3 linked regions of the Oryzias latipes genome follow. The protein of the gene in region 3 purifies or fractionates together with the protein of the main gene of each other region. This does not show direct contact. Links are inferred from orthologs where the notes say so. Each region holds a gene or a part of one and is shown on either strand. Other genes may lie near its edges. The genes, in order: ciao1, mms19 and pole.

What was found.
Region 1: the proteins of pole (region 3) and ciao1 purify together in Homo sapiens (affinity purification with western blotting; 3 studies listed by BioGRID, with this or other methods). This does not show direct contact. The link is inferred for Oryzias latipes from reciprocal best matches to the Homo sapiens genes POLE and CIAO1.
Region 2: the proteins of pole (region 3) and mms19 purify together in Homo sapiens (affinity purification with western blotting; 3 studies listed by BioGRID and IntAct, with this or other methods). This does not show direct contact. The link is inferred for Oryzias latipes from reciprocal best matches to the Homo sapiens genes POLE and MMS19.

What each region holds. Positions count from the first base shown.
Region 1 is NC_019867.2:18,357,822-18,367,628, forward strand, and holds ciao1 (probable cytosolic iron-sulfur protein assembly protein CIAO1), read left to right. Parts: upstream 1-4,911; 5' UTR 4,912-5,187; coding exon 5,188-5,326; intron 5,327-5,436; coding exon 5,437-5,585; intron 5,586-5,654; coding exon 5,655-5,766; intron 5,767-5,857; coding exon 5,858-5,946; intron 5,947-6,115; coding exon 6,116-6,311; intron 6,312-6,402; coding exon 6,403-6,472; intron 6,473-7,474; coding exon 7,475-7,709; 3' UTR 7,710-8,019; downstream 8,020-9,807. Other genes in the region: ES1 protein, mitochondrial-like, read right to left, coding at 850-942, 1,051-1,182, 1,296-1,409, 1,480-1,532, 1,609-1,725; tmem127 (transmembrane protein 127), read right to left, coding at 3,334-3,644, 3,724-3,888, 3,980-4,217; snrnp200 (U5 small nuclear ribonucleoprotein 200 kDa helicase), read right to left, coding at 9,277-9,420, 9,499-9,591, 9,669-9,750. UniProt on the Homo sapiens protein: Key component of the cytosolic iron-sulfur protein assembly (CIA) complex, a multiprotein complex that mediates the incorporation of iron-sulfur cluster into extramitochondrial Fe/S proteins.
Region 2 is NC_019877.2:1,647,652-1,657,533, forward strand, and holds the start of mms19 (MMS19 nucleotide excision repair protein homolog), read right to left. Parts: upstream 4,596-9,882; 5' UTR 4,488-4,595; intron 3,781-4,487; 5' UTR 3,757-3,780; coding exon 3,669-3,756; intron 2,443-3,668; coding exon 2,394-2,442; intron 2,301-2,393; coding exon 2,200-2,300; intron 2,130-2,199; coding exon 2,044-2,129; intron 1,968-2,043; coding exon 1,893-1,967; intron 1,777-1,892; coding exon 1,707-1,776; intron 1,363-1,706; coding exon 1,234-1,362; intron 1,155-1,233; coding exon 1,093-1,154; intron 260-1,092; coding exon 173-259; intron 90-172; coding exon 15-89; intron 1-14. Other genes in the region: ubtd1 (ubiquitin domain-containing protein 1), read left to right, coding at 5,016-5,085, 9,084-9,311, 9,391-9,548. UniProt on the Homo sapiens protein: Key component of the cytosolic iron-sulfur protein assembly (CIA) complex, a multiprotein complex that mediates the incorporation of iron-sulfur cluster into apoproteins specifically involved in DNA metabolism and genomic integrity.
Region 3 is NC_019867.2:13,279,686-13,289,248, reverse strand, and holds the start of pole (DNA polymerase epsilon catalytic subunit A), read right to left. Parts: upstream 6,135-9,563; 5' UTR 5,958-6,134; coding exon 5,890-5,957; intron 5,783-5,889; coding exon 5,647-5,782; intron 5,575-5,646; coding exon 5,494-5,574; intron 5,414-5,493; coding exon 5,369-5,413; intron 5,296-5,368; coding exon 5,203-5,295; intron 5,117-5,202; coding exon 4,962-5,116; intron 4,881-4,961; coding exon 4,736-4,880; intron 4,656-4,735; coding exon 4,575-4,655; intron 4,461-4,574; coding exon 4,353-4,460; intron 4,258-4,352; coding exon 4,147-4,257; intron 4,060-4,146; coding exon 3,974-4,059; intron 2,486-3,973; coding exon 2,366-2,485; intron 2,278-2,365; coding exon 2,145-2,277; intron 2,046-2,144; coding exon 1,932-2,045; intron 1,832-1,931; coding exon 1,619-1,831; intron 1,529-1,618; coding exon 1,421-1,528; intron 1,346-1,420; coding exon 1,217-1,345; intron 1,138-1,216; coding exon 1,035-1,137; intron 967-1,034; coding exon 820-966; intron 731-819; and 7 more. Other genes in the region: acacb (acetyl-CoA carboxylase 2), read left to right, coding at 8,741-9,276. UniProt on the Homo sapiens protein: Catalytic component of the DNA polymerase epsilon complex. Participates in chromosomal DNA replication.

The sequences.
Region 1 (9,807 bases), about 5.1 Mb from region 3:
AAAAAAAACAAACAACTTTTGATGCTTCTGACTTTTTTGGGGGCTTTATTAAAAGTATGGGAGGATTATTTTCTTTAAATGTGGGGTAGAGGTCACAACGCCTTTTAACCTGATACGGATACTGCTTCTTTGTTTCATCCTCAACCTCGAGCTCAACTCTTTAACTCCGGTAATCCCACTTCTTCTGCCACCTGGAATCTTCTTTCTTTCACCTGACACTCTGTGTCCTCTAACCTGACCTTGTCACTGGCGTCCCTCATCGCCTTCTTCATCTATCCCAGAAAAGCCATTTTGCAACAGAGACCATTTGTGCTGCTACCTTTGTCCAGCCACGCCTTCTTTAGAGGATTTGCCTGGAAAAACTACTTTCCTGTTGTCCAAACTGAGCTTAAGACTGTCTAAACTATTTTTACTGCACCTGTCCTTCCTGCTGTCTGCTGCCAGAAAGAAGACTTTAACCCCACAACTTCAAGAAGCAGCGCATAGAAGAATCCCTGTTTCCCTAAACAAACCCTTTAGTTCAGCAAAATGCATAACAAAATTCACATATTGTGCAGAGAAGCGTTTTTTTTAAACAAGAACATTTTATCTGGCATCCAATTATTATGAAAAAATTAAAAATGTCTAATTTAAAACTATTTCTACATTCGCACATTTAAAATCAAAGAAGGAAAGTAGCTTTTTTCATTGAAATTATTCAATAATGAACCATGCACCTCTTTGCTTGTCACTTCCAGCTGCTTCTCTGGTGTCTTCAGAAACACGTGGTGAAATTTGCCTCACGATTGACTGTCAATTGAGGTTGTTTTCAGGCATTTATTAAGTCAGCAGCACCTTACTCTTACATACCCGATAGGTTTCCGTGAACGGTGGAAGTCCTTCAGCACCCTTTCCACATCATTATGCAGCTTAAAGTCTTTGCCATCCTTCATAAAAGAGGATCTGAAGAGTCAAGATACATCCATTAGTCTTAGTTCTTTGCGTTCAGTCACACCAGCTTTTACCTTTGTGTGTTTTCAGTCTTTTTTTTTTTGTGGTTATGTTCCTCACAGATTCTTAGTGATGCCGTAGCCTCCAGGGAAGATGACGGCATCAAAGCTGCTGGCATCCAGGGAAGACAGGTCCTGCATTTGCATCTTTCCCTGCCCGTGGCTGAAGCGCGCTGACTCAATCATCATGTTCCTGTTTATCAGTCAAACATGACCAAAAGTAGTTCCAGTCAAGTTGAATATCAAAACTATGACATTAGGGAAGAACAGAGCTCTTCTTAAGCGTGTCAAATGAGTGGCTCCAACCTGTTCTCCCCAGAAGCTGGTTGCTTTTTCATGTGGTCCATCACGTTCATCTGCTGTTGATTTGGGGCAAAAATCTGGAAGCGAGCGCCATTTCTGCTCAGGTGGTACATGGTGCTAAACACAAGTGTTTCCAGTTATGGTCATTCACTGGTGTACAAAACTTTCCTGATCTTCTCATACTCACTACACGCCCTCATGGACGTCAGTTCCATCCCACCATCCGCATCCAGAGAAAACCTAGAGTATAAGGAGAAATTCCAGCAATGTGTGCCATGATCTCATTACTGATCTCACAAAGTTCTGCTTAACCTACCACAGCGACATTGGTGTTTCCCCAGTTGCCATAGTCACCCTGGTGAACAAAGCAGGCAGGCTGGCGGAAAAAAACAGCCAGTGTTTGTTTAGAAAGCAAAGCCCTGGTTCCCAACATGGTTCTGCTTTGGTCTCACGGCTTTGAGAGGAGAAATGAAACGTTGGAGTTTCTCACAGAGCTTTCCACGACCTCTGATAGTCCTGATATTGATCCGAGTGAAGCGGCCTGTATATATACCTCCATAGTGCAGCCAAAGTGACGTGGCCACGTAAGACCATTGTCTTATCACACCTGCACTTGTTTCCCCACTGAACTCCCTTACCTACGCCATTACCGCCTTCACCGCTCCCCTAATCAACTTATTTAACCACAGAGGGACGCCTCCTGACAAATCCAATCAATATCTTTGTTTGCCTTTGATCTTCATGGGATTTGCTGGTGGAGAAATTGTGTTCAATGTTTAAAGCAGCTGAGTGACATTCCATATGCCCTTTAAAGTCCATTAGATTGTAAGGCTCTTACTCTCTAGTAATGCCATGTAGCGTCTAGACGGTGAACCCAGAAATATCCTTGGCAGATGGAAAAGACAGATCAAATTTAAAGGCTTCAGTTAGTTAGTGGAAGGCTGACATTTGGTTAAACTCCTGGACGCCTCAGTGGGATGTAAACCAGCAGGACGCAAAATATGACTTTGACTTTATTAGAATCAGTTGATGTAAGCAATCAATATGTACATACTGCTGACAGTATAGCAAAGATTAATAGTGGAAAAATGTTGTAAAACCAACTCGAAACACATTAGCCACAATTCCAAGTCTGAACTAAGTGAGAAGATTTGGGCTGAAACGTAAAAATTGCACACTAAAGAACTCATGCATGGGTACAACATGATGGATCCAACACACAGTCACAAAATACAAATAAGAACAATTCAAAGACAAAAAATAAAAAACAAAATAACCTTACATACTCATCCTGCAAACACTTTTCTTGGGCATCTCCCTTTCTTTACGCCCCCACCTTACAACAAAAACACCCACCCGGGCTGTTTTTTTTTCCTTAAACGCCCAAAATCTCACCCCCCCACCAAAAAGCACAGAATAAAAGACACAGAATATAACCATAGACAAATGTCTACAAAGCAAAAGAACAATCAAAGACAAAAAGAAAAGTATGTGCAATAAATAGGGTCAATTTTCATAAAAATAAAAATTTAAAACAATCTCGTCAGTGTACAGATGAATTTGCATCTATGGTGCATCTAAAAATAAATCATACATATGACAAGCACATCAAATGAAATCTAAATGCTGCTTAGCAAAGCTCCATCTTTCTCCAATTACATCAACAATCTGCTAAGAGCCAGTGTGGCTTTGGCTGCATCATCAAAATCTTAGGGAGTACTGGTTTGCACTCATTGCTTTTTTTTTTAATTTTACATGTAAAGACTAAATTCTGCAAGTCATTTAAATGCAGATATTTAACCAACCCCATGTTGAAATGAAGAATTCCCTTCTAAATGTCTATCACCACCAAATAAAAGCGTTCATGCACCTCAGCACTTTCATTGAATGAATCTGTGCACTAAAGGTACACAAACTGTTTTCGTTGCCAAGAATATTTGCAGAGATATTCATTTGATAAAGAATGTGGTTTGCGGGTCAAGCAAACAGCTGTGCAGAGAGGAAAGACAACCCAAGGCCATGTCGCCGCTTTTTGCTGGCATTATGGTGTGTAGGCAGGAGGTGGCTGAAACTGGTTGGCAATGTCATAGTCAGCAGGGAAAGTCTCGCTGCTGTCCTCCATTTCTGAGAGCAGCTCCAAGGCCTGCTCTTCCTCCTCGGTGGGATAATGGCGCAGGAGGTTTGCAGCAGTGGCTAGAATGGAGGCTCCACCAGCACCTGCCACCAGGTAGAAGCTGATGGCAAAGGTGACGTAAATGAGAGAGCCATGGTACTTTTTGTGTTGCTGCTGCAGTGACAAGATCAGTTCCGATGCCCAGTAGCAAAAGCCTATGACTGTGGCACACTGCAACACTGGAAAGACAAAGAAACCAGTTACATTGTAGCAATGTGTTTGATCTTTATTAGAAATGAAAACAAGCACTGTAGATACCTGTTAGTATATGTGCAAAAGCATATCTGCGAGTTATCTTTAGGGCAGGGTGTTTGGGTCCAAACACATCCAGGAGGAACGCAGTTAGACTGCACAGGATGCCAAGGAAACAGAAGGCAGCTATTACCCTTAGCAGCAGGATGGTCTGCGGATTCACACAGTAATCTGAAAAGACAGACGTGCCACAAATTCATATAAATTAAGGCACTCCATGATCCTCAGCTTAGAGTGGCAACGACTTTGTGCTGGTTCTTACCACCCAAAAGATTGGGATCAACGTATCCCAAGACATCTGCCACCCCGAGTTCTTGTCTCGGGCAGGTGCCTCCGTGAATCCGGAGCCAAGCAGGTTCAGCCAGAGCCGTGCACAGCGCTGTGATGGACAAAGCTCCGGGCAGGGCCGACACTAGACTCCGCTCCGGCTGTTTGGGAAGTGAGGTACCGGCTCTCCTCCTCCGACCTCCGGAGACAGCGGGACCCGGTGGGGCATACATAGCTGACCGAATGGCGAATTTTCTGTTGAAGTGGTAGGTTCCTCTTAGCACTGTCTTCCTCTTGACAGTAGTACCGGGTTATTGTGGTATTAGAGTAAAACTACGGCAATTGTCTTCCAGGATATGTCAAAGATTTCGGTGGCGATAAAAGTGCTCAACAATATAAAAACAACAATAACCGCTTCCCTAAAGTAGTCAAAAAATATTAAGGAAAAGCCAACACAAAGAACAGATCCTAAGCGGGCCTTTAGCTCTGTTGTTAGCCTCTGAAGCTAACTAAAAAAAATAAACACTTTACGTCACCAGTTCTCGGAGGAAAGACACTTTTTAGCGAACGAATGGGAAAAAATATAACCTGTAAACATCAAATCCCGCTGATAAAACCGTCCGTCTCTATGATACAAAAAGGAACACAAAACAAAACAAAAGATAGCTTACGCTGTTTTCCTCAAAATCCCTAACTTCCTGTATATGCCATTCTTCTTCGTGACGTTTAGAATGTTTGCTGTACACTACCGCCCCCAGCGGAAACTAAAATAGAAATGTACACAATGTTTAGCATGAAATTTTCTTTGCAAACAGTAATGTAAATATAGATTCATATTATAAAAATACATATATAGGTAGATCACTTTCTTTAAAAATATATAAATGAAATATTACCATCAAAACGTTTTATTTTAGATCAACCCATAATGCACCGGGTCCAGATCCCGATAAGCAAACATGGCGGCATTTCCTAATTTGACGCTTCTTTGAACTTATCTGTGTGAACAATTTTCCTTGGTTAATTTCCCCCTCCTTTTGTTTTAATGTTCATAAAGGTGTATTAATTTACTCGCAGTCCTCTTGTCTGTCGTTTTCCTCATTTGTGACTCTTTTTAGCCTAAATCTTTGGTTAACGGAAATCGAGAAAAGTGTCGAGTCGACGCCTGACAGACAGAGGAGTCACGTTTGCTGGAGCTCTGCCATGAAGGAGGCTATTTCTCTGGTGCAGAAACTCAGCGCACACCCAGATTCTCGGTGCTGGTTCGTCAGTTGGAGCCCGAGCGGTGCGCTGCTGGCTTCGTGTGGTGGCGATAAGGCCATCCGGATATGGGGACAGGAAGGTCAGACTCAGACAGACAAAGAGCCTTCTATTCGAATTTTGCTACGCCGATTTAAAATCAGTGGTTGGATGACCTTACCTTTTTTACAGTTCATGTTTTCCCTTTTCAAGGTGACTCTTGGGTTTGTAAAAACGTTCTGCAGGACGGACACCAGCGCACTGTGAGGAAAGTAGCCTGGTCTCCCTGTGGGAACTATCTGGCCTCCGCCAGCTTCGATGCGACGACATGCATCTGGAAAAAGAAGAACGACGACTTTGAGGTAAGGTTCGTTTAACCTCTGATCTAACACGTGTTCTGGCTCCACCTGGACTCTTTTCTTGTCTTCTAGAGCTTAACTGTGTTGGAAGGTCATGAAAACGAGGTCAAATGCGTGGCGTGGGCCCCTTCAGGGACTTTGCTGGCCACTTGTAGCCGAGACAAGAGTGTCTGGGTTTGGGAAGGTTTGTGTCCTCACCAGCTCTTGCAGGACAATCCTTTGTCACAGAAAACATATAGAGCTGGGTTGTAAACCTTTGTTTTCCTTCTTCACAGTGGACGAAGAAGATGAGTACGAGTGTGTTACAGTGGTGAACTCGCACACACAAGATGTAAAGCATGTTGTGTGGCATCCCACGCAAGAGGTAGGTCTGCACTCAGTCCTTCACCATCATGTAGTTGTTTTATTATTGTTGCTATTAATTGTTAAAGTGCATCTTTAGCCATATTTATGATCTACGTGCTGTTTTTAATAGAGCCATGGTAACGACGTTTGTGGGATCAATAAAGTTGTATTTTATTCTATTTCCGCAGCTCTTGGCTTCTGCCAGCTACGACAACAACATCTGTATTTACAAGGAGGAGGATGATGACTGGGAGTGCAGGGCCACTCTGCAGGGACACACGTCCACCGTCTGGAGTTTGTGTTTCGACGTGACGGGACAGAGGCTGGCGTCTTGCAGCGATGACCGCACTGTGAAGATTTGGAAGGAGTATCCAAGTGAGAGTGGTGAGAAGATAGAGGGGTAGTTTATGACATAAATAAAAAAAAATAGGATATTTTTTAATCACAGAATGTTTTGTTTGGTCTGCTTTATTAGGTGATTTGTCATGGAAGTGCGTTTGCACTCTGTCGGGTTATCATGGACGAACAGTGTACGACATTGCCTGGTAAGACTAAATACTTACACTACAGCAGGGGTGTCAAACACACGGCCCGCGGGCCTTATCCGGCCCGCCAGGTGGTTTACTCCGGCCCACACATGAAGAGTAAAAATCAAAAGGATGATTAAAAAAGAAAGCAAGTTTCTAGTCCATTCCTGTGGCGAATTATGATTTTTTAAAGAAATAACAGAAATGTGCAATTCCGCCACTAGGGGGAGTAAAGGAAAAGAAAAACAGTTGAAACAGCAAATATCTGCATGTGCCAAAAGCGAAACATAACAGCTCTGCGTCTGGGTAGGATGCACCTTGGTTCCCTATGAGCCTTACCGCTGTTATCTTGCTATAAGGATGATCATTAGCGACACCCTAATGACCAAAATGCTGTCAAACGTGAAGTGGAGGGAAGAGCCTTCCAGGAAAATTGGACAGAGTTTTTTCTTTTTTTCACGAAGCTGAATGTAAAACCCAAATGCTTTGTATGTCATCAACATCGCAGTGCTCAAAGAATATGACATTCAGCACCACTAAGAGACTTATCATAAAGAAAAGTTTCTGGATTGCTTCAGTGTCAGATGTAAAATATTCAGACTGCATTAATTTGAATAGACCAACTTTTCTTTAATTGAAATTAATTTTATTTGAGCTCCATTGGCCCCAAGTGATTAGGCTACTATGTTGATTGAGACATTTTTTCCAACTGAATAAAAAACTAAAACAAAGCTGTTATTTTGCTTTTATGTTACTGGTCCGGCCCACTTGAGATCAGACGGGTTAAATGTGGCCCCCGAACCAAAATGAGTTGGACACCCCTGCACTACAGTCTGGTGTCTGATTTTTTTTTTTTTACTTTAAAAATAGATTCTATTTACAGAGTTTTTAAAAAGTTGCCAAAACAGATTTTCTTCTTTGCTTTTTTGGCTGTACCACCACTAAAACAGCGCTTGTCATCAGTCGGCTGAATCTTTGTCCCCTTTACTATTATGGCTCAAACAACTGTCTGTTGCGTAGGTGTCGACTGACCGGTGCCCTAGCAACTGCCTGTGGCGACGACGCCATACGAGTGTTTAGGGAGGATCTCGCGGCCCATGCAGATGAGCCGGTGTTCTCGCTGGCTGCTCAGGTGAAGAAGGCTCACTGTCAGGATGTGAACTGCGTCGCCTGGAACCCAAAGGAGGCCGGCCTCCTGGCCTCCTGCAGTGATGATGGAGACATTGCAATTTGGAGGTTTCAAGAAGAAGACTGAACCTGCTGTGGAGACACCAGCAATTGGATGAAACCCTGTGCTGAACTTAAATGTTCTTTTCTTTTGCTATATAAAGTCATGCTTATACAGTTATCTTTATAAATCTGAATGATTGTAAAATGTAAAGTTTAAGTTCTATTTTTATTCACAAAAGTGATGATGGGTGTGCTGGTTAACTGTTTTTAGTCCTACAACTTAAAAGGAGCAAGAAACTAGTTCTGTTCTGTTTACATCTAAATACATCTTTATAGCAAAAAGCAGGTTTTCTGTAAAAAAATGATTTAAATAAAGCCTCAAACCCTTGGAGTGATCGGAGACTGTGCATAACTACTGTACACCCAAAAAATGGAAAATATATATATATATATATCCCCACACCTGAAATGTCTGAATAAGCTTGCAAAAATGTATTTTGGAAACGGAAATAAGTAACTGCACTGAATGAACTTGTTTTCAAGTTTGGTAGTTGGGTTTACCTTTGTGCTATCTTAGACGACCCCACCCTTACTTTGACGTGTTCTCCCTACCATGATAAAGGTGGAAAGATTTCATGTAATCCATGGACACCAGTGAAGATCACAAATCATTGAAGAAAAAAAGGTTCAGAGCACTGTCTAGTGGGTCTAGATGACCCAACTCCCAATGGTAAAGTGCCTAGGATAGCACAACACCACTATCAGTAGTCAAAGCTCACCAACTGGCTTGCACTGTTAATTTAACCCTTGTGCTATCCTAACATTGGGAGTGGGGTCATCTAGACCCACTAGAAAGTGCTCTGAACCTTTTTTCTCCAATGATTTGTAATCTTCTCTGGTATCCATAAATTACATGAAATCTTTCCACCTTTATCATGGTAGGGAGAACACGTCAATGTAAGGGGGGGGGGAGTCGTCTACGATAGCACAAGGGTTAAACCCAACTACCAAACTTGAAAACAAGTTCATTCAGTGCAGTTATTTCCATTACCAAAAGACATTTTTGCAAGCTTATTCAGACATTTCAGGTGTGGGGATATATATAGGGATAAAGGGAGGGGATCAAGAACAATCTTGTCAATATCCATTAAGTGCTGTAGTGACATGAGCTTGTAGCATAAAAGGGGCCAGACTAAGAACTAATTGTTTCATAATAAAACTATAAAACAATTTTCAGATGTTTTTATTGCAAAAAACAAACAGACAGCATGAATGATTAAACGGTTTAACCAATCCAAAAAATCTTATGACGTTTAACCAAAGTAAAATGGAAAGTCTAATCTATTTAAACATGCAATGTGGATGAGACTCAGCTGTTCAACGGCAGTTTAAGATGTCTTAGACTTATCTTTGAATAATTTTGTGAAAAGTACATCAATGGTCAACGTAAAGAACACAAAACTTCTGAAAAGCTGTTTAACATACAGGATAAAACGATTGTACTGACTACGAAAACATGTTATAACACCCACAGAGAACTGACAGGGTCACTCTCAGAGATTGATCGGGGTAAATATCTACATATAAAACCTGATCCCATTATTTATTGAAAAAAAAAAAAGGATTAAAAATGTAGAATTTGAATTTCCAGCTTAATCTGAATCGCTGTCGCTGTCTGCCTCCTTCACGTCCACACTGAACTTGTACTCCTGATCACAGCCCATGTAAGCGTCGCTCATGAAGTACAGCGTGTAGTTGTGAATGCCCATCGCTGGTGCCACAAAGTCCAGCTTGACCTACACAGAAGAACCAAAAATGAAAACTGTGGTAGTTTGCGTATTTTTGGTTAGGGAGTGTTCAAAGCAGCGGCTCACCTTCGCTTTTTGTTGCAGAGTCAGCCTCTTGATTGAGATCAGGCTGTTCGACTTCGGGTCTCCGATCACAACCCACCAGCCCTCCTCACGTTTCTGCAACGATGAGACGATCAAACGATGAAGCAAATGTAGGAAACACCTATAGGGAAGTGGACAGCCACTCAACTGACCTGAGGGAAAAGGGGAGCGACGACAGGGCCAGTCACCTCCTCCTCACGCTCCAGCTGAACCTGAACCAGAACTGGACTGCCACTGAAGAAAACACAGACCAAATTTTATCCAGAGGGCAGTGCTGATGTAAATCTGATC
Region 2 (9,882 bases), on a different chromosome or scaffold from region 3:
GCGTGTCTCCTCACCAGAGTCTGCAGCGCGTCCAGCTTGGCGCTCTGAACCTCTGAGTCCAGTTTCTCGATGAGGAGGGGGAACAGAAACTGTGGGAAGCCGAACAGAAACGTTTGCCGGAGAATGTTTGCTCAGGGGATCGAGTCAGAAGAAGCAGACCCGCCGTCGTTACCTCGGCAAACTTTGGCGTTCCGGTGAGGACGGCCCTCAGAGCCTGAACCAGCTCCTCTTTGGTGATGCCGTGGGGGTCGTTGGGGGGCTGCAGTGGACCAGGAGGGGGTTTTGGAAAAAGAATAGGAGGACAGGTTAGATGAAAAGTTATCCTGGAATCGCGTCCTGATCTAAAGAGTTCAGATGTCAGAACCCTGGAGAACCATGTCAGAGATCTGCACAGACGCTGCTGCAGATGCTGCAGACGCTGCTGCAGATGCTGCCGACACAGCTGCAGACGCTCCTGCAGACGCTGCTGCAGACACTGCTGCTGACACTCCCACAATCTCCGGGGGCTCAAAAAAAACCCGGCAAAACCAAAACACACATGTCAGGGATATTTAAAGTAAGTTTTGAAATTATTATGGGATGGCAAAAGGTGGCAAAGTGTAAAATTGGGCGATTTTCAGATGGGGGCAGTGCGACTTAAACTTTTGCTCGCACATTTTTTACCAGGACATTGTAGATATGAACATATTAGGAATGTGGGCGGGGTTGACAAAAAACCTCAGTTGCTAAGGAAATCCAAAAATGTATTCCTCTAAAAATGACATTGATCTGTCCGTCGGCCTCAAACGACCAAAAATTGAAATGGTTGCTATGGAGACAAACGTACATAAAAGGCACCGTTATGACAAAAGCGTGTTTTTTTAATGAATTTGTGCAGCTCTCGGGTGGCAGGGACAGACAGGGAGAGAGAGGGACATGTAGCAGATCCTGAAGATAATAGAGCGACATATTTTACTTTAGCTGATTTTTCTCCAGAGAGGAGAGGATGGAGACCCCAATGAGGAGCACGAATGCCCAGATCACACTTGTTTTTTGGGGGGAGGAGCAACAGTTTTCTCTGGCGGTCTGCAGACGTCGTCAACAGGAACTTACCGGGGTGAAGTCGATGGGGAAATAGCAGGAAGTCACTTCAAAGAGCTCCTCTGCGAATTTACCTGAGACAGCAGACAGGAAGGTTGAGAGAAGGAAACCGTGACATCACCAACAGACGGGGGGGGAGGAAGGTCTTCTCACCCAGATCGTATCCTTGGACGATGAGGTTTCTGGCGATCCTGAAGGCCAGCAGCAAGTTGCGAGGGTCTCTCTCGCCGTCCATTGATTGGACGAAACCAAAGACAAAGTCGGCTCCCAAACTCTTCAGCTCTGAATGGAGGATTGAGAGGACGTGAGAGACCGCCAAACGCATAGAGTGTCAGATATTTGTATGGATACTATAAACAAACGTTATTGACAATTGGAGAAATTAGAAAGAATTTAAATAATCAAATCATTAATTCAGTTTATCAAACAAGCCTAAACTGGTTTGGAGCGACCCGCAGTTCACCAAGTGACCACTAGAGCACGGTCTCACAAATGTCAGCTAGATCCTCTAGATCAGGTTAGATCCTCTACTCTAGAAGCGCCTCTCTCTTTATAAAGCTTCTGATGGCTCTGCATCTCCTGGGACGGGCAGCACAGAACCCCTTCACTTTGAGGAAGACTCTTACCGGCTTCCCTGGTCTCCATCAGGTTGGTGAGCATGTTGTAGACACACGCTCGCTCTGCAAGCATCAGCGACTGAGAGACAAAAAACAACAACGTCAAGATAGACCTCGAGACAAACGGCACGGAGCAGACCTTTACCGGAAAACAGGAAGTGGAGGAGATCCTGGTTTCTTCATGGAGAACCTCACCTGGACGTGGACGTCCTGGAACAGCGACCTCAGCATGGACACGGCCGAGCCGGGAGGCAGCGCCGCACACTTGGTCTGAGGAGAAACCAACACAAACTTACAAGGAGGCTCCAGCAGCGCCTCCGTCTGAAACCGGGTCCCCCAAGTTTACCAAGGCGAGCAGCCCCCGTAGGACGGGCGGAGTGGTGACGTGATGGTCTTTGAGGCGGTTCTGGTAGAAAGCCATGAGCACTTCCACTGCGATGGGACAACAGGATGTCAACAACGCTCCTCACTTTGAGCAGACGAAAAGGCTTGGTGTTCTGACCTTCTTTCTGCGACAGCTCTGCACGGCCGTCCTGTAGGACCTCGGAGAGCAGCTGGACGCCGCGGGCGCGAGTCTGCGGCTGCGAGCTGGTCAGGCTGGGCCTGCGGGTGGACGGGAAGTCGATTGAAAACAAGAACGGCGTCACTTTTTTGTGTTTTTGTAAAAAAGTAAAGGAGAAAAAGACAAAGGCTCACCCCAACGCTTCCACTAACTGCAAAACTGTAAACGCTCCATCTTTGACACCTGAGCAAGAATCAATAATATGTCAACAAAAGCTTAAATAATCCATATTATACCACGGTCCGGGTCTCAATTCTGATTGGCTGCTTGATGTGAACCATCAGCGTATTTATCGCTTTCCTTTGCCGCTGCAGTGGAGGTCGAAGTAAGAACGCGCCCGCCGCCTTACGTGCAAATAGGACCACGGTAACGGAAACAATGAGTACATATATAGAATAAAGTTGTACAATTCTGAGAAAAATAAAGACAAAATTTTACAAGGAAAAAAAATGTACAAGAAAAAACTTTAAAAAAAGGGAAAACGACAATTTTCTAACATAAAGCTGTAAATGTTTTACTTCAAAAGTTGCAATATTGCAAGGAAATAGTCATACTTTTTCAAATAAGTAAATAAATAAAAGTCTGAATTTTAAAAGGAAAAAACTAAAAACTGATTTAATATGCATTTCTTTTGGAAAATTTTAGGACTATTTGCGTCAAATTTAGACTTCTCTCAGATTATTTTACAGTTCAATTCTCATAATAAAGTTTGGACTTTTTTCCTCATAATTTCACGACTGAATTCCTGTAAAAATTTGAACTTTTCTCTTATAATGTTACAACTTCATTGTCAAATATTTGCTTTTCTTTCATGGTGGCCTCAGTATTCCGTCATAACAGCCTTTAAATAAATATAGTATCAGGGGAAAAACAAACTTCAGTAAATTTGATTGACATAAGTGATCGTTTTATTTTGAAAGATCCCCCTCTGTTTACTTTGGGTATAATTAAAACTCCTTTAATTTGATACGTCATAAGTTATCAGGTCTGTGCTGAATCGGAACCGAATCGGTTCGGTAGTCTGGACGTGTTTCCCTGCTTTGCCCACACAGACAAACTCGGGATCAAAGGTAAATCGGGGGTTGAGGGTTCAATGACAGGATCCTCCTCGCGCCCAGCCAGCAGCTAGCTAGCAGCAGGCACGAGACCACAGCAGACTGCAGGTACAGTCATGGTTTCAGTAAACAAAGATAGCTGCGAGTTCCTGCCGCCCCGGAAAAAGGGCAGATTCATGACATGTTTAGTGTCAGGAGGAGCTTCTCACGCAGCATCCCGCACAGGATGTTGTGACGCTAAGTTTAGCTAGTTAACCCCCACGCACCTTTATGGGAAACTAACGGCTCCAGCTCAGTTTTCCACACAAACCCGCTGGTAAATGTGAGGACAAACACCGGACACGACTGCTGTACCTTTAGCGGCGTCCTTTGCTTTGCTGTCCTGCAATCCGGAGACGAATTCCTCCACCAGAGACAGCAGCAAGGCACCGTCCGCAGCCATCGCGCTTCCTCCACGCTGCTGACACTGCGCATGTGCAGAAAGTTCAAACGCCAAAGTCCAACTTTTTTTTTCTTGGTTAAGAAAAAATATAAATATATTTTTAAAAAATATTGTTTGTGCTTTTAAATAAAATAAATATAGAGATTTTACACAAAAGAACGACACATTTATGTCCAAGACACCATTACATTCAAAGTATCTCAAAAAACATAAACAAGTATAAATGTAACAATTTATTAAGCTTGATCATTTTTGTTTGGTCATAAAGGTGTTATTGGAGATGTCATACTTTTATAAGTGCATTAATTAAGCAGTGAAATATGTTTCAAGCTGGACTAAAAGCTGAAACCGTTTGATAACATGATCTGGATTAAAATCCCAGAAGATATTAAACTACGTAAAATATTTTTTTGTTCATCGTATGACTGCATTCATTCTATCTAAGTTTTCATGTGACGTTATAATAAACTGGAATTCACACGTTTTTGTTCAGTATTTTTTTAAACTATATGGAAAAATCCTAATTTGTTTGGATAAGTTTGAAAAATACCTACAAAAAAGTGAAATATTCATAAGAATCTGTACTTTATTGATAGTATTTTTACTTTGTGCCCTTTTAAAATGTACTTATTGTCATTGTGTATTGTTTTTTCTCTCCTAATATCAAAGACGGTTTGAACCATTATTGTGACGTCACTGCTATCATTTATTTACGTTTCCTTCAGACCCACCTGCCTGGTTGTCTGCGCATGTGCAGAAAAGTTCGCCTGCCTTAGCTCGTTTCTGAACACTTTCTCAACCAGCAGCAACAGAAAGTGAGGAGTTTTTCCAAGTCTTTTGAAGAAAAGTAGTCCGGGAGCGCGTGAAGGGCGTGATACGGTTCTGCATTCAGCTCCGAGTGAAGCTCTACCTCCAGACCCTTTTATAGGGAAGATAAAACTCGGGGAAATGACATCGAGCACGCGGAAGTTTGTGTTTTCTGGCGGAGCTAGCTGGTTAGCCCAGTTAGCCTGTTAGCAAGAAAGCTTTTCTGTTTACAGTTGCAACTAAACCGAACTTTACCGGTTATTCAGACAACAGAAAAAAAGTTGTTAACGGTTCCCACCGGATTTCACCGCCTTGTTGTCACCGGATGACATATCCGGCTAGCAGCGCTGCACCTGCGGGTTCTGATCTTCGCCGGACTCGGTTCTTCGTCGCCATGGGCCCCGTTGGAAGCCAGTGAAGCCCCGCGGGGAGCGACCACAGCCCCTCCGGCCATGGGAGGATGCGTGGGGAGGTACTGGCGAGGCTGGGACGAGTCACAGAGCCGAGGTTCGTCCGGGAACGGTGGGTTCGGAGTTTGCTGTTTATATGACACTTTAGAGTAGCAAATGCAGCAGAGTCATAGAAAAAGACAAGAAAACGAGCTAAATGTAGGTTAATTAAACCTGGGGGGGGGGGGGGGGGGGGGGTATTATTTATGTTCTTATTTGACATTTATCTTCAACTATTTGACACCTGACACTGTTGTTTGACCCTAACTACTATGCAAACGAGCTTTAGCTGATTTGGTTGGACTTGAACCCGGAAAGGACACACATTTGAATGCGTGCAGGTGAGCTGGTACCTGAGGAACCTGTGACTGAATGGATCACGTGATCACGTGATGCAGCAGCGCCTCTGAACGCTGGTTTTAGGGTGCAAACAGGAACGTGGCCTCCTCTGCGTTTGACCTTGACCTGCATAAGAAGTGGTGGAATAGCTGCTCTCCTTTGTTTGCACAAGTATTGTCTGTAATCCGCCCAAAAGTTTGGGAATCTTCTGCAGTGCATACATACACACTCAACGCACATTTATTTGTAGAATGCGTGTATAGAAAGTTCAAAACCTATTGTTTATTCCATGTTTGTGCATCTCTTAACCTGGCGAAAGGTCCGGCTGAAGTTGAAGCACACGAGAGTGTAGAGGACGGTCGACCTGTGAGGCCAAATGCAAAAAAACAAAAGGGAGTCAAACAGCTTGCTTTGAAGGAAATGTTCTCCATTTGAACCTTTGATCGGAGCTCCTGCGGCGTGGCAGGAGTTCTTTAAAATAAAACGTTCGTCGTTCATGCAGGTGGATGCTTAAGAATGGGGCGGAGCAGGAAGCTTGTTTCTTCATCACAAATACGATGTTTTCCAAACCACGTTTTTTTCCGTCTGCTCCCGATTTGCATTGATTTGAATAAAGAAGACACTCAGAAACGGAATTTTGAGCTTCATTTTCTTTCCATTTGTCCTCCCATCATCAAAAGATGCTACAAGAACACGTTTAAAACTCCATTTTCATGGCAGTGCTTCTTTAAGCGAAGATGTTTACATGAATGTGCTTGCACTCTAATTCTACCTTGGTTTTATTTTGAAATGATTTCTATTTTTGCTTTTTTATTTGTATGCTCTTATTTTGAAACATGTTTACAGCAGTCTCTCTGAGGGTTTTGCTTTGAACCTTTCTGTGTTTTTGACAGTGATAGCTGTGGTCATATAAGGTCACCTTGGCGTGTGTCCATATATGTGTTGCGTTGGCGTTTACTCCAGTTTTACAGGATAAAACCAAGTTTTTCCAGGCAGCCACCGTTCACATTGCTTAGAGCATCAAACCACTGGGGCTGAGTGTGTTTTTGCACGTTAGTGTCTAGAATTTATTGAGGCTGTCGGAGCAAACATTCCTCTCGTATTTTACTGTGACTCATTTCCTGCTTCGCTTGCCGTCAGACACTCCCTCATTAACAGAGAACAAGTCCCATCATGCCCTGCGGCAATCGCTGACTCTCCAACCTGCAGACGCTTGTGTGACGGAGCAGAAATTGGGCGATGAAATGTGTGAGTGAATCCTTGTTTGTGGTCACGACTTTGGTCAGGTCAGCCTCGTTCAGCTGCTAATGTGAAGGTTTTTGCTGCTGATGAGCTTCCACAAGCGCCTGAGTTTGACAGCTGAAGGCTCGCAGGCGATGATGGACGACCATCAACGACCATCAACCCTCAGAGCTGCAAAAGCGTTGAAGAGGACGCTGCTGAGGAATGCAGGCGTCTCATCCAAACTCAAAAAGGGAGAAATGGTTTTGCTGCTGCTGAGAGAAACAGACTGAAGTTGTTCCTCCGGTCTGAAATGTGTCGTTTTATGTGCTCTATTTCTTACCAACCAGGCGTTTCCTCTTATTTCTGCTTTACCACAACTATTCCCATCAAACGTTTCAGAAATCTCTTTAAAGACTGAAAAGATGCAGTTTGAAAAAGATCATTTTGGTGTCGTAGAAAATACTGGGGGGGGGCTACAAGCACCCTGCTCTGCTCCATTCTGATCATCCACCTGCAGACAAACACATCCATGAACGTCTCTGTTTTCCTCGTCTGAGCTGGAATCTGGATCTAAACTGGATTGCTCGCCATTTTTGTTGCACCGCTAATGTTAGCTTGTGGTTGTGAGGGGCTGTGAGCTAACGGGAGAGCAAGTAAACAAAGGGATGATGGGATATCAGCTGCGGCTTAGCTCTGCACCCACCGTCCTGCCAACAACTCAGAGGTGGATGTCGAAAGAACGCCTTCCTCTCTGCAGAAACTATGTCCTAGAAAACGACAGACTAACAATGTCATAATCATGGCTAAACAACCACTGGGAACACTTTGAAAATGCATCAAAAGATGATCAGAGCAGAATTAAAAATGTCCTGTGGATGCATAAAAACATGGATACATTTTCTGGAAGTTTATGTTGTCCCAAGTTTGAGGTTTTAACGGTAAAAGTTTCACTTTTGTTTAATTTAAACCACTAAATATGTGAAAACAGTTCTGTATATGAAACAGAATTGATTCAGAGAGGAAATAATGGAATAAATGAATAAAATCCAGAACGTTAAGATTTATTTTTTAACTTAATCCTTCTCTTAATCTATTTACGGAATTACATCTTTTTACTAAACAATTTGACTGATTTTAGGAATAAAAATGAAAATCACTAGCGTTTTAGAACATTTTCTTCCCCTAATGAGATTCATGAGCTCCTTGATGACTTTGCGGATCCTGTTCAGGTTTTGGTTTCCGTTCAGGACCTCGGACAGATCACACAAAGAAGCAGGAACAGGTTTTTCTGATCAGATAAAACATTAAAGAACGGTGAATCTGCAACAAACTTCTGTAAAAACCAGAAGAGAACTGAATGCAAATCACTTCAAACGCGTTTTTAGAAACGGCCAGAAGTTTTGTTAAAAACAATTTGATGTCTGCAGGTTGGATATAATGTTTTTGATTCCATTGGTTGTTTTTGATTTATATTGGTTGCAACCCCCCCTCCCCACCCCCCATAATTAAAAAAAAAAAAAAAAAATTCCTGCAGGGACTTAGAAAAAAAAAGTCACACTTTTGTGTGAAGATGAGTCATTTATTTATCTTTTTAAATCATTTTTGGTTATTAAAGCAGATACATTTTGATGAATAGTATTTATCTAAACAAAAAAAGAAAGAAGACTTTTTAAAATTCTCTCTTTGTCGCTGGTTTTTATTTTTCCTCTCGTTAGATGTAAAGTTTGTGGCTTTAAGACCACAAATTTCTTAATTTTTTGTGCTTAAAAAAAATCCAGAAAATATGAGCTTCTATGATCCACAGGTTCTGCAGATTTTTTAGCAAACGTGGATTATTTAGGAAAACAAACTCTGCTTTTGAAATTTTCCTTAGTTTAAAATCTTTTGGTTTATCACTGAAAGCCACACTGGTGCTGTTATTCCCTCATCAGTCCTCCATGTTTGAATGTTTCCTCCTTCCATCTTCTGGATCATCGTTTGGCTCCTCAGTCTGACTTTCTTCCTGGTTTGTCCCGAGTCTCAGACGGGAAACTCCAGAGTCTAACCCAACACCGACCTCTGTGTGTCTCAGACGCTTACAAATAATTCAACAGGTGACCTCCTCGCCGAGCGCTGGCCTTCGTTTTCCGTCACGTGACCTCCGACGGTTTCCTGCTGATCCAGTTGAAAGTCAAAAGTTAACATTTGATCCGTTTTTTTCAGCAAAAAATTAGATAAAACTGTGGAATACCAGGAAGTAAAGAAGCCTGCGTGTGGTCTAGATGCAGCTCTGAGTCACTTCTGTGTTTAGACTGGAGGACAGGATCTTCTGACTGATGGCTCTTCTCCATTCATGGACTCTATTGCTGTTCAGAAAAGAAAGCAGAGGATTTACTCGCCGTTTTTTGTTACCTGCAGTAAAACTGAAACGTTCAGCTCCTGTGTTTTTTTAACAGTTGATCTAAATGCTGATCTTCTTTGGCGCGTGCGTTCGCCTGATGGTGGCTGATTTGTTGTTTGGACTCGCAGGACGCAACGAACCTCTGAAAAGAGACCGTCCCAAATGGAAGAGCGACTACCCCATGACAGAGGGTCAGCTGCGGAGCAAAAGGGATGAATTCTGGGACACGGCGCCGGCCTTTGAGGGCCGCAAGGAAATCTGGGACGCCCTGAAGGCCGCGGCCGTGGCGCTGGAGTGCAACGACCACGAGCTGGCCCAGGCCATCGTCGATGGAGCCAGCATCACGCTTCCTCACGGTGAGACGCTCAGATCTCTGACGTTTGGAGGGAAAACAGACGACTGTACGCTTGTTTTCTTCTGCCCTCCTCTCTGCAGGAACTCTGACTGAATGTTACGACGAACTCGGGACCCGCTACCAGCTGCCCGTCTACTGCCTGGCGCCCCCCATCAACCTCATCTCGGAGCGCAGCGACGAGGACGCCAACGAGAGCCCTGAGCTGTCTGCGACATCCAAGAAAGAGTTCGTGCTGAAGGTACCGCCGTCTTCATCTGAGCAGCAAACGTCGCTCAGATCAGACGCCGTTCATGCCCAGAGCGGCGGCGGCGGCGAGCTGATTCACAAATCAAGATCAACAAATCACAGATCAGACCACAATTCTTACTATTTTATGTATAAATAATGTCTGAATGGCTGTTATACGTTTGTCTTTTTACTGGATGTATGAAAACTAAAATATTCATTTAAACACCATCATACATACATTTATCCCCCTGTGCCATGTTGTGGGGTCCAGATGACCCCACTCCCAACGTTAACGTGCCTAAAGCACGTTAACGTTGGGAGTGGGGTCATCTGGACCCCACAAC
Region 3 (9,563 bases):
TTCACCACAAAGTTCTCAGGAAAGGTGTTGGGGAGGACACACCAGATGCCATCTGTGTCCAACTCAAGGGGTCTCCTGAGTGGTGGAGAATCATCCCACATGGATGTGACGCCTTTCTCACAAGGAAACGTTGCGTAAATGCCTATGGGACTCACCCAATCTGTTCAATGAGCTCTCTGGCCTGAGTGATGATGTTGGCGCCGGTGTAGCACACGATTCCAGCCATCTCCATGGAATACCAGCGTGCCCTGAAAGACAAAAACAGCAACTTTAAGATGGCAAACATCTCAGAAGCAAATCTGACTATTGTTTAATGACCCCCTACCCTTTCCTCATGACGTAACCATAGAAAGAGTTAAGGATGCACTTATGGGCCAGCTGAAGAGACTCGTACAGGATCTCCATGTTTTTGCAGCGCTTCACCTCTGCAGCATCTCCGCTGTCCTGAGCTGCCGACAGCTTCTTCTTCCACACCTTTAACAAAAAATATATATTAGACAGCCAATAATACAGCACTGAGTAAATCACAACTATGACCATTTAAAGTCCAGATAACTCAACGTGATTTATCTTAGAGAACAAACCTTGTGAAGTCCTTTGAATTCATACCGCCGGTCCCTGAAAGCTCTGACTGTATCGACATAAAAAGAGTTTTCTCTCTGACAGATGGTGGTGACCCGTTGCTCCAGCCTGGTGACGTGCGTCTTCTTATAGGCCTTCTTACAGTAGTCTGGCACAGAGAAAGGACACATCCACTTATGCTTTGGGGTCTGCACAAAACCGAAACCTTAAGCAACAGATGCAAGAGACGGACTATACCCGCCAGACGTTTCTTCTCGTGCTTGGCCTGCTCCTCCCGGTTGAGTGTGTGAAAGGCCCGGGGGGGGCCGTTGGGAAAAAGCGGGGGTAGCTTCTCAGACTCGAGCTGCTGCTGGATGCGGTGAAACTCACTGCGACTTGCAGGCACTGCAGGCAGAATGAAAACATTAAAATAAAGTAATCGTTTTTGATTTCCAGAGTTATGGACAGCTTACTGATTTCCCCTCTCCACTGCCAGGCCATCCTCCTCTGACAGGTCGCACCAGGCTTGTTAAAGTCACAGGCAGCACAGGTGGCTTCATCTACCATAGCAGACGGCTAGGAAAAATTCACACAGAGAAGTGAAACTTAAATCCACACTGCTTTACGGTTTGTACTTTTTAAATATAAACTTTACCTGCAGTCGGTTTGTGAGAATGATGTTGGGGTACATCGCTCCGACGTCGAGATGGTAGATGAGTGGGCATTCAATTCTGTTTGGAACCTCCTTCAAGGAAGTCAGCTTCTCTTTGATCTCATCACAAACCTGACAGAACAGTGATCGGGGCTAAAAAGCACGAACCAGCATGAAGAGAACACCAACTACAAAAGGCCAACACACCTCATTGAAATTAGTAACTTGCTCCAGAGGGATTTTCTCCTCCTCCTCGATAGCATGGCGCATAGTTCTTTCAACTCTTTGCAAAAGGAAGTCAAACGCAGCTGGATTCTGTCAACGAGTCAAGCCAAACTGTTAGTTTTAAAAGAGTCGGACTGTGCCGACAACTGGCAAAAAGGGGTGGAGCAAACATGACAGTACCATTTTAAACCGACAGGGAATGTCGCTGCGAAACACTCCCGACTCCAGCGCCTCCACGTGTCCACCCACGTAGGTCTCCGAATCCAAAACATGGCCGTCATCTGTCAGCTTGTTGAAGGCCTGTTCCTGCTTGTTGGGGAACACGATGTTGGCGTGAAAGGCCTGCACCATGAGCAAGGCTTCACACAGAGTCCCGGAACCTTTCCGGAGCACCTGTTGGCGAACAGACCCAAACAGAAAAAAACTAATCATCAGTAAAATAAACTAAATGTTTGGATTTAAGAGTTCTTTTATGAAAATGCTTCTAACAGACCTCATCAGGCTCCATTGGGATGATTGTGCACAGCGCAAAGATGAAGGGGTGAACATATTTCATATACAAATAGTATGTGGCCACTGCGTCTGACACAGAGTATGTGGCTAAGGTCTGAGGAGAAAAAAGCGGAAAAAATGGTGAAAAAAGAAAAGAAATTAAAAATCTATTTAATTTTAAAACTTTCCCTGGTTCTTTTTTTTTTTTAAATACCTGCGGCTCTTCCGTTGCCATTCGGCACATTTCCTCTGGATCCAGCTCAACTGGGTCATAACCCAACTTAGCTTTTGCCGCTGCCTTCAGATTGTGACTCCCCACGGGTAAGTAGCTGTCTCTTTTTACCCACCTGATACATTGAAACAGGAGAAAGTGGTGATAAATCTGTATAATTAAAAATACCGTTCAATATGATACTGTGTCGTTTGTGTTGACACCTTAAACAGTCCATGTGGATTGCCTGGCTGGACTTGTACTCTCCTTGGCTGTCCTTCTGGAAACCGATCTCTCTGTGCATGTTGAGTCCATGGACGGCAGCTCGAGTCTCAACAAAAGGCCTAGAGAGAAAAAAACAAGTCAAAATGATTTGCATTAAAAGTTTTAGTTGCCTATTTTCTTCCATTTTTAAAAACTAAATTCAGATGAAACATCAGATCTTCTTATAATCGGAGTGTTACACGACACTAAAAATCACACCAAAAACCAGATTGTAGAATGTTCTGTGCATATCATGGCGAGGCTTCGTAAACGAAGATTATGAAGAGGGCTGTCCACGTCTTCTACAAGCTCGCTCGTGGCTGAGCAATCCAATATGGGAAAGGCAGATCCTGTAGCAGAGGCTGCAGGTGAAAGTCTGTTCTGGATTCGGTGCAGTCGTGAGGCCGGCTATTCTCATTTGCCGTTTGTCTTTTAGCCTAGTCCGTCGCTTGTCTTCAAAAGAGGAGACAGCGTCTTTGATGTACTGGCGCCAGGTGTCACGGTCTTTTGCCAAAGTAGACCACTGACGATGGTTGATGTTACAAGCACCAAGGGATTTCTTAAGAGAGTCTTTGTATCTCTTTTTTGGTGCCCCTTTATCTCGCTGGCCTGATGCAAGTTCGCCATACAGAGTGATCCTTGGCAGTCGGTGGTCCTCCATCCTGTGTACATGCCCAGCCCACCGCAGTTGCGACTTAAGAAGCATGGCCTCTATGCTTTGGATGTCTGCCCTCTCGAGGACTTCAACATTGGTGACAAAGTCGCTCCAATGGATGCCAAGAATGGTGCGTAGACAGCGCTGGTGGAAACGTTCGAGGACTCGCAGATGGTGCTGGTAAGTGACCCAAGACTCAGAGCCGGAAAGAAGGGTGGTCACCACAACTGCCCTGTATACACTGATCTTGGTGGGTTTTTTCAGGTGCTTGTTGTTCCACACCCGACTGTGGAGTCTGCCAAAGGCACTATTCGCCTTGGCGAGCCTGTTGTCTAACTCTTTGTCGATCCTGGCATCTGAGGTAATTGTGCACCCCAAGTAGGTGAACTGCTGGACAGCTTTTAGTTCTGTCTCTCCAATATAGACATGGGGAGGCTGGTACACTTCCCGAGGTACTGGCTGGTGGAGGACCTCTGTCTTCTTTAGACTAACTTCAAGTCTGAAGAGCTTGGCAGCATCTGCAAAGCAGGAAGTTAGTCGCTGAAGTGCTCTCTGGGTGTGAGCTAGGAGAGCTGCGTCATCAGCAAAGAGGAGGTCACTGATCATTTGCTCACGGGTCTTGGTGTGAGCCTTCAGTCGTCTCAGGTTGAACAAGCTGCCATCGAGGCGGTAGCGAATGTACACGGCATCCTCGTCATCAGGGCCATCAGTGGCTTGCTTTAGCATCATGCTAAAGAAGATCGTAAAAAGAGTGGGTGCCAGGACACAGCCCTGTTTTACGCCGTTGATGATGGGGAAAGTGTCTGAAAGGTCGCTATTGAGCCTGATCTGGCCGCTCTGGTCTTCGTGCAGCTGAACAACCATGTTGAGAAATTCCTCAAAATTCTGTGCATATACTGACACACAAACTCACCAGTCAAAGAAGTCTCCGTTGTACGTCACAAAGATGTTTGGTTTTGTTTCTTGAACATGATCAAACCACCTCTGTATGAGAGCAGCCTGCAGCCAATGAAAAGAAACAGTATGTTTTTCAAGGACCTGTAGACCTGCAACTGTTGTTATAATTACGATGTGAGAGCTACGAACCTCATTGTCCTCATTGAAAACAGTGAAGGGCCCTTCATATTCAGGTTTGGGGGTGAACTCAAAATCCTCAATGTTTTCAGAGACAATCTCTCTGTTTGTAATAAGGAACCCCTGAGGAGATAAAACAGGGGTTGGTGTGAAACAACACAACTTGAAAGATTTTTTTTTTTAAATTTGTTAAAAAAACCATTTGAAGTTGAACACACCTGCCCGTCTATCATGTAGGAGATCATCATAATCTGATCACTCTCTGCATCTGGGAATTTCAGAGGAAGTTTGGTGGTTTCGATGTCAAAGGCCAAAACAACTGGATCCTGTAAGAAGATTTCTGTGAAACTTATGAACTAAAGACCCCAGAATGTTATTTTGTATGAGCAGAAATTATTTACAGATACCGTTTTAAAAAAGGAATATAAAAATCTTCTTACTGGTCGTTCCACAAGATCGTCCCTGCGGATAATCTCTAGGGGATAAGCGTTGCTTCTGTAGCGAACGTTGTACCAATGAGCCTGAACGAAGTAGAGACACTAAATGAAGCAAAGCCAGATGTCCAAAAAGTAAATACAATTTATTGTCAAGTTCTTCTTACAACGTGGATCTTAAGGTCGATGGACAGTCGGACATGGTAAGGCACATCATACTCTCTCATGTCCACCACATTGTCTAATTGATCGACGATGCTCTTTGACATCCCGTCCTCGTCTGCTGTGGTCACACCGACTCCAGACAACGCGCTAAAGCAACAACAAAGCAGAGAAACGTCTCCATCACACTCATCTTAAGACGGGAGATCAGCTTAGAGGAGCTGTTGATACCTCGACAGCATGGAGGTGTACTCATCATGCGACTGCTCCCTCTCTCTGTTCTTGCGCACGGCAGGAGCAATCTCCCGCTTGACTTTGATGAGGTCATCCACGGTGTTGAACGACAGCTTGATGTAGTTTCTCTTCAGTCCAACGAGATGGTTTGGCTGGGTAAAGCAGGTGTTTTTTTTTCTTTTAATCCACTTGACTTGATTAAAACCAAATCCACATTGATTTTTTTTTTTAAACTCACCAGATCTAGATCTTCTTTTGGAAGCATTTCAAGTTTGGCCACTTTGCCTTGAAACTTCTTAGACAAGTATGATATGACCTCTCTTTCGCAGTTCTAGGAATAACAAAACCCGATTATGCTCTTTCTTTACACAGAAAAGATGCTAAACTAAGTTAAAAAAATGTACCTTTTTTGTAGCAATATAAAAATAAGGCTTGAAGGGAAGGGCCACCTACAGACAGTAAATATCACAAGGTAAATATTAAACTAAATATTTGAATAATCAAATCTATTTTTAAAGGTTACACTAACCTTAAACCTGCTTCCATCCTCCTGGATGAAATAATAATCCACAGCGCTGATCATTCTTTTGTCCTCATCCAGGATCTCTGTCTGTAAATGAAAAACAGTCAGTGTCCTCTCCAAACCATTCCCTAAATCGCGGCAGACTAGAAGTGGACTTACTGGGTGCATGTTGATCAACCACCCGGTTTTCTCCCCCGGTTCCTTCATCCTGTCGAATCCGAAGCGAGCGTCCATGTCATCGGTGAACTGACTGCGCTCCAGCCTCTTGAGGGCCGACATCGAGGACCCATCATCCCTGGTTTAGACACATAAGCATCATAGCATTTTTATTTCCGCCTAATAGCATACTTTGTCGGTGGATAAACAATAAATCAAGAGCTGCCTGGTGAAAAAGCCACTCACTGGTTTTCCTGGTCTCCTCCATTCGGTCCGCGGTCCGTCCTGTAACGTCCACTATTTTGAAGAACCATTTTCTATGTAATAGTTTTCCCTACTAAAAATAATGTCAACGAGTAGTCTTTTTCCAATGGTAGAATAATTCACATTTGATAAGTTTAGACGCTTGAAGTTTATGTTCCTGGTTCCTTCGGCAATTTTGCAGGTAGGGTTTGTGTTTTTCTTGCTTTGGCGCGCTCTTGCTGTTATCGCGAGACCAAAACTCAGTGAAAACAATCGTTTATTAAAGAGAACATTCACTCCTAATTTATTCGTTGTTTCAATGTTTCCTTTCGGGTGATTTGGCTTTTACAGTTCATATTATGACAAGAAAAAATATTTATCTTTCAGATAAAAACAATGAAAACGCTAATAATAATGAGTTTATGTAAAACCAGGAAATTTATGACTAAGATTTTTTTTTTGACAACATTCAGATTTTCCGAGAGAATTTGCAATAAAGAGGTGGTAAAAAGTGGACCTATGACGCTTTTCAGTGATTGTACAATTAGTTTTGTTCTTGACTTGAATTAAAGAGAAATGGAGTGTGACTTCTGACAAATGTGCGATCTTTGGAGATTTCTTCTTCCTCTTCTTCTTCCTGGGAGGAGCCTCACTGTAACCCCGCCCCTCCTTCTCATGTGCATTTGTAGTGTTATTATAACCTGCTGAAGGAGGTGTTGGACGGCGGTGAGTGGATGACACAACGTGCAGTGGTTGTGGTAGGTGGCCTTGACCCGCATGTAGCCTTCAGATCGTAGCTGATTATGTTGTTTCCTGCGCTATTCGAATGTATTTCATATTTGCACATTTCCTGTTAGATAAACAAGTCATTTGTTCCTTAATTCAAATTCCCAGCTTTGTTAAAGCATCAGTCACATTTTTATACTCTAAATATTATCTTTTTAAGTAATAAGGTCAAATAGAAAGAAACATACTAACAAATAAGTTGTAATGCTTAAAAAATAATTTACATATAAGGACACAACTCTGAATCATAAAAAGTATTTTAAGAAAATATGTTAATGTATTTTTTAGGGAACATATTCCTCCAGTTGACATAAAACCATAAATATTTCCTTTTTTTTAAAACTAGAAATTCAATGAGATACTTTTCTAAGAAATTCCAATTTGTTGTGCATGAACTGCAAATGGTATAGCCCATCATTTTTACAGTTCTTCTCGTGTGCATCCATATGTTTGTAAAGGCTGATTGCATGGATGTTTCCATTTCAGTACAAAATACATTCTGTCCCTCAGTATTGACCTTTAGCCTGCATTGAGGAGCCACCCTCAGCTCCGATGGCAGCTGTTCCTCTCAGCCTGTTTACTGGAGCCTTGCTGGGGAATGTCTCCTGCCAGGACCCGCTGGCACCGTTAACCCCACATACCTATAGAAACTTTGTGTAAATCTGTTTAATCCTACGTAATGTTTAAGCTGATGTGAGGGTGTTATCTTACACTTTTTAATCGTTTCTTTACTCGTCACTGTGCACTTAAAATGTCTATCCTCTGAAGCTGTTTCTGTGTTCACATTCTGCTCGCTGTCCAAATAATAATGTGCTTATATCTGAACTGCAAGGGACACAAATGTAACACGTCAAGTTGTCTCAATACATTAAAGGCCACAACAAGGTCATGAGGTCCCCTAAATTAAACATTATCAGTTCTTTACATCTTAAGCCAAGTAAATATTTGCCTATTAACTATTTTGATTTAAAAAAATGTAGTAAATTAAAATATTGCCATTAGAAAATGTTGACTTAATTTAAAATCGTAAATGATTATGTGACAGAAAAACTGTCAATTAGTAACTTTAATGAATATTATGACTATTGCATAACTGTATTAACTACATCAAATTAAATACCTGGTAATGCAGTACTTTCATTGTTTTCTAGTAAGATTCATTTACTGGTATAAATTACGGCTGACGTTCTCATGCGTGAACTTTCCTTGAATGCTTTTTTTTCCCCCCAGACTCCACTGGTCTTTGAAATGATTCATTAGATCAGTTTTGGGTTTGCATGTGTGGCTCTCTGATACACTTGTGACCTTATTACAGTATACCTTGCTTATTCCACCTCATTTAACACAATAATGTAGATGTAAAAGATTTATAAATCTGACTTAAGGAAGTATTTTTATTCACAAGTACATGTCTTATAAGATTCTGCAGCCAGCAAATGTGTGACGCATCTCAGAAAATAATAACACTGCTATTCTTTTCATTTTTTATGAATCTTACAATGATATTGGTACTTAACCTTAGTTTTTATTTTGTAAATAGATAACAAAAAACAAAACAATACAAAAAAAGAATTTAAAGAGAAGAAGGTCCCTATATGCTTTTGTGCACTGTAAGATTTAGCTTGTTGAGCTAGGTTCATTCACAGTTGTTAACAGCAGATACCATGAGTTGCAAATATGAATACTTTGCCCAAACGTTTATGAACAGATTTGTTAATTCAACTTCACAACACTTTAAAAATGGAGACAATATGCCTTTACAAAGATGTCCACAAGAGGGCAGCAAAGACTCTCAACACATGTAAACATCTTGTGAACATTTGTCTTGTCGATTCATACATTTTAACTTTAAAACTTTTAACCTTGAACCCCCCCCCCCCCCCGGAAAAAAATTAATAAGGGATGTAAAGTATCAGACTTTGTTTAATTTGAGTTAAGAGTCCTTATAAAACTTTAAAACAAAGGCCTTCAAAAATGTTGATGTTTTTTTCTTGTTTTAAATCAGAATTTTCTTAAATGTGAAGATAATGTTTACCTTGTCGTTCCAGTATGAGGAGGATGTCTGCGAATGCTCCTTTTTGCAGCTTTGGGACTCATCCTGTGGATATCTGTGCTACTTTGGAGAATTATTACCAAGACTGGAGTAATGTCTGTGGAAGGACAGGGATCGGATTCTGTCTGGGATTCCCCTGAGCAGGGTGCCTCTGGCGCACATACCCCTTCCAATGCAGACAACTACTCACTCTTATTAGCTCCCTCAACTTCATTAACCACTAAACACAACAATCCAGCCAACAGCAAACCTATGGCTTCTGTAGTCAAAACAGCAGAGTGTGATCCTCTGCAGACTCTCTCTGAGGTAAACTCAGAGCTGCTGCCAAAGAGCACTTCAAACCACGTCAGAGCCACGGCTCCTATGCTCAGCTCAAGGCCCGAGGAGAGGAAGCGCCTTAAGTTCATTCTGGGAGCTTCAGAGGATTACTCTTCAGATGAGGATCTCCTGGTCACAAAGCCTCCAAGCGGAGTATCTCAGGCTTCTACGCCGAAATCTGCCACAGAGATGGAGCCCTCTGCAGTGCCGACGCCCACGCCTTCAACCATCAAGTGAGACCTATTTTCTCTGTTTCAGGACAGGCATGTTTTATTGCTATGAAAAACTTTTGACGTGTGAAAGATCAGTGTTTACAACAAACACCAGTCAGATGGAATCATTTGAAATATATTACGGTATAGATTGTAGAAATTCTTTCCTATTTATGGTAGAGGCAATGTGACAAAAGGCTTCTTGTCACTCAGCTGTGTGTTATCATCTGACTGCATTGACTTGTGTTATTGTGGTCTGCCAAGCATCTCAGCTCTATTATTGGATCAAGAATCCCAGCCGGTGACTT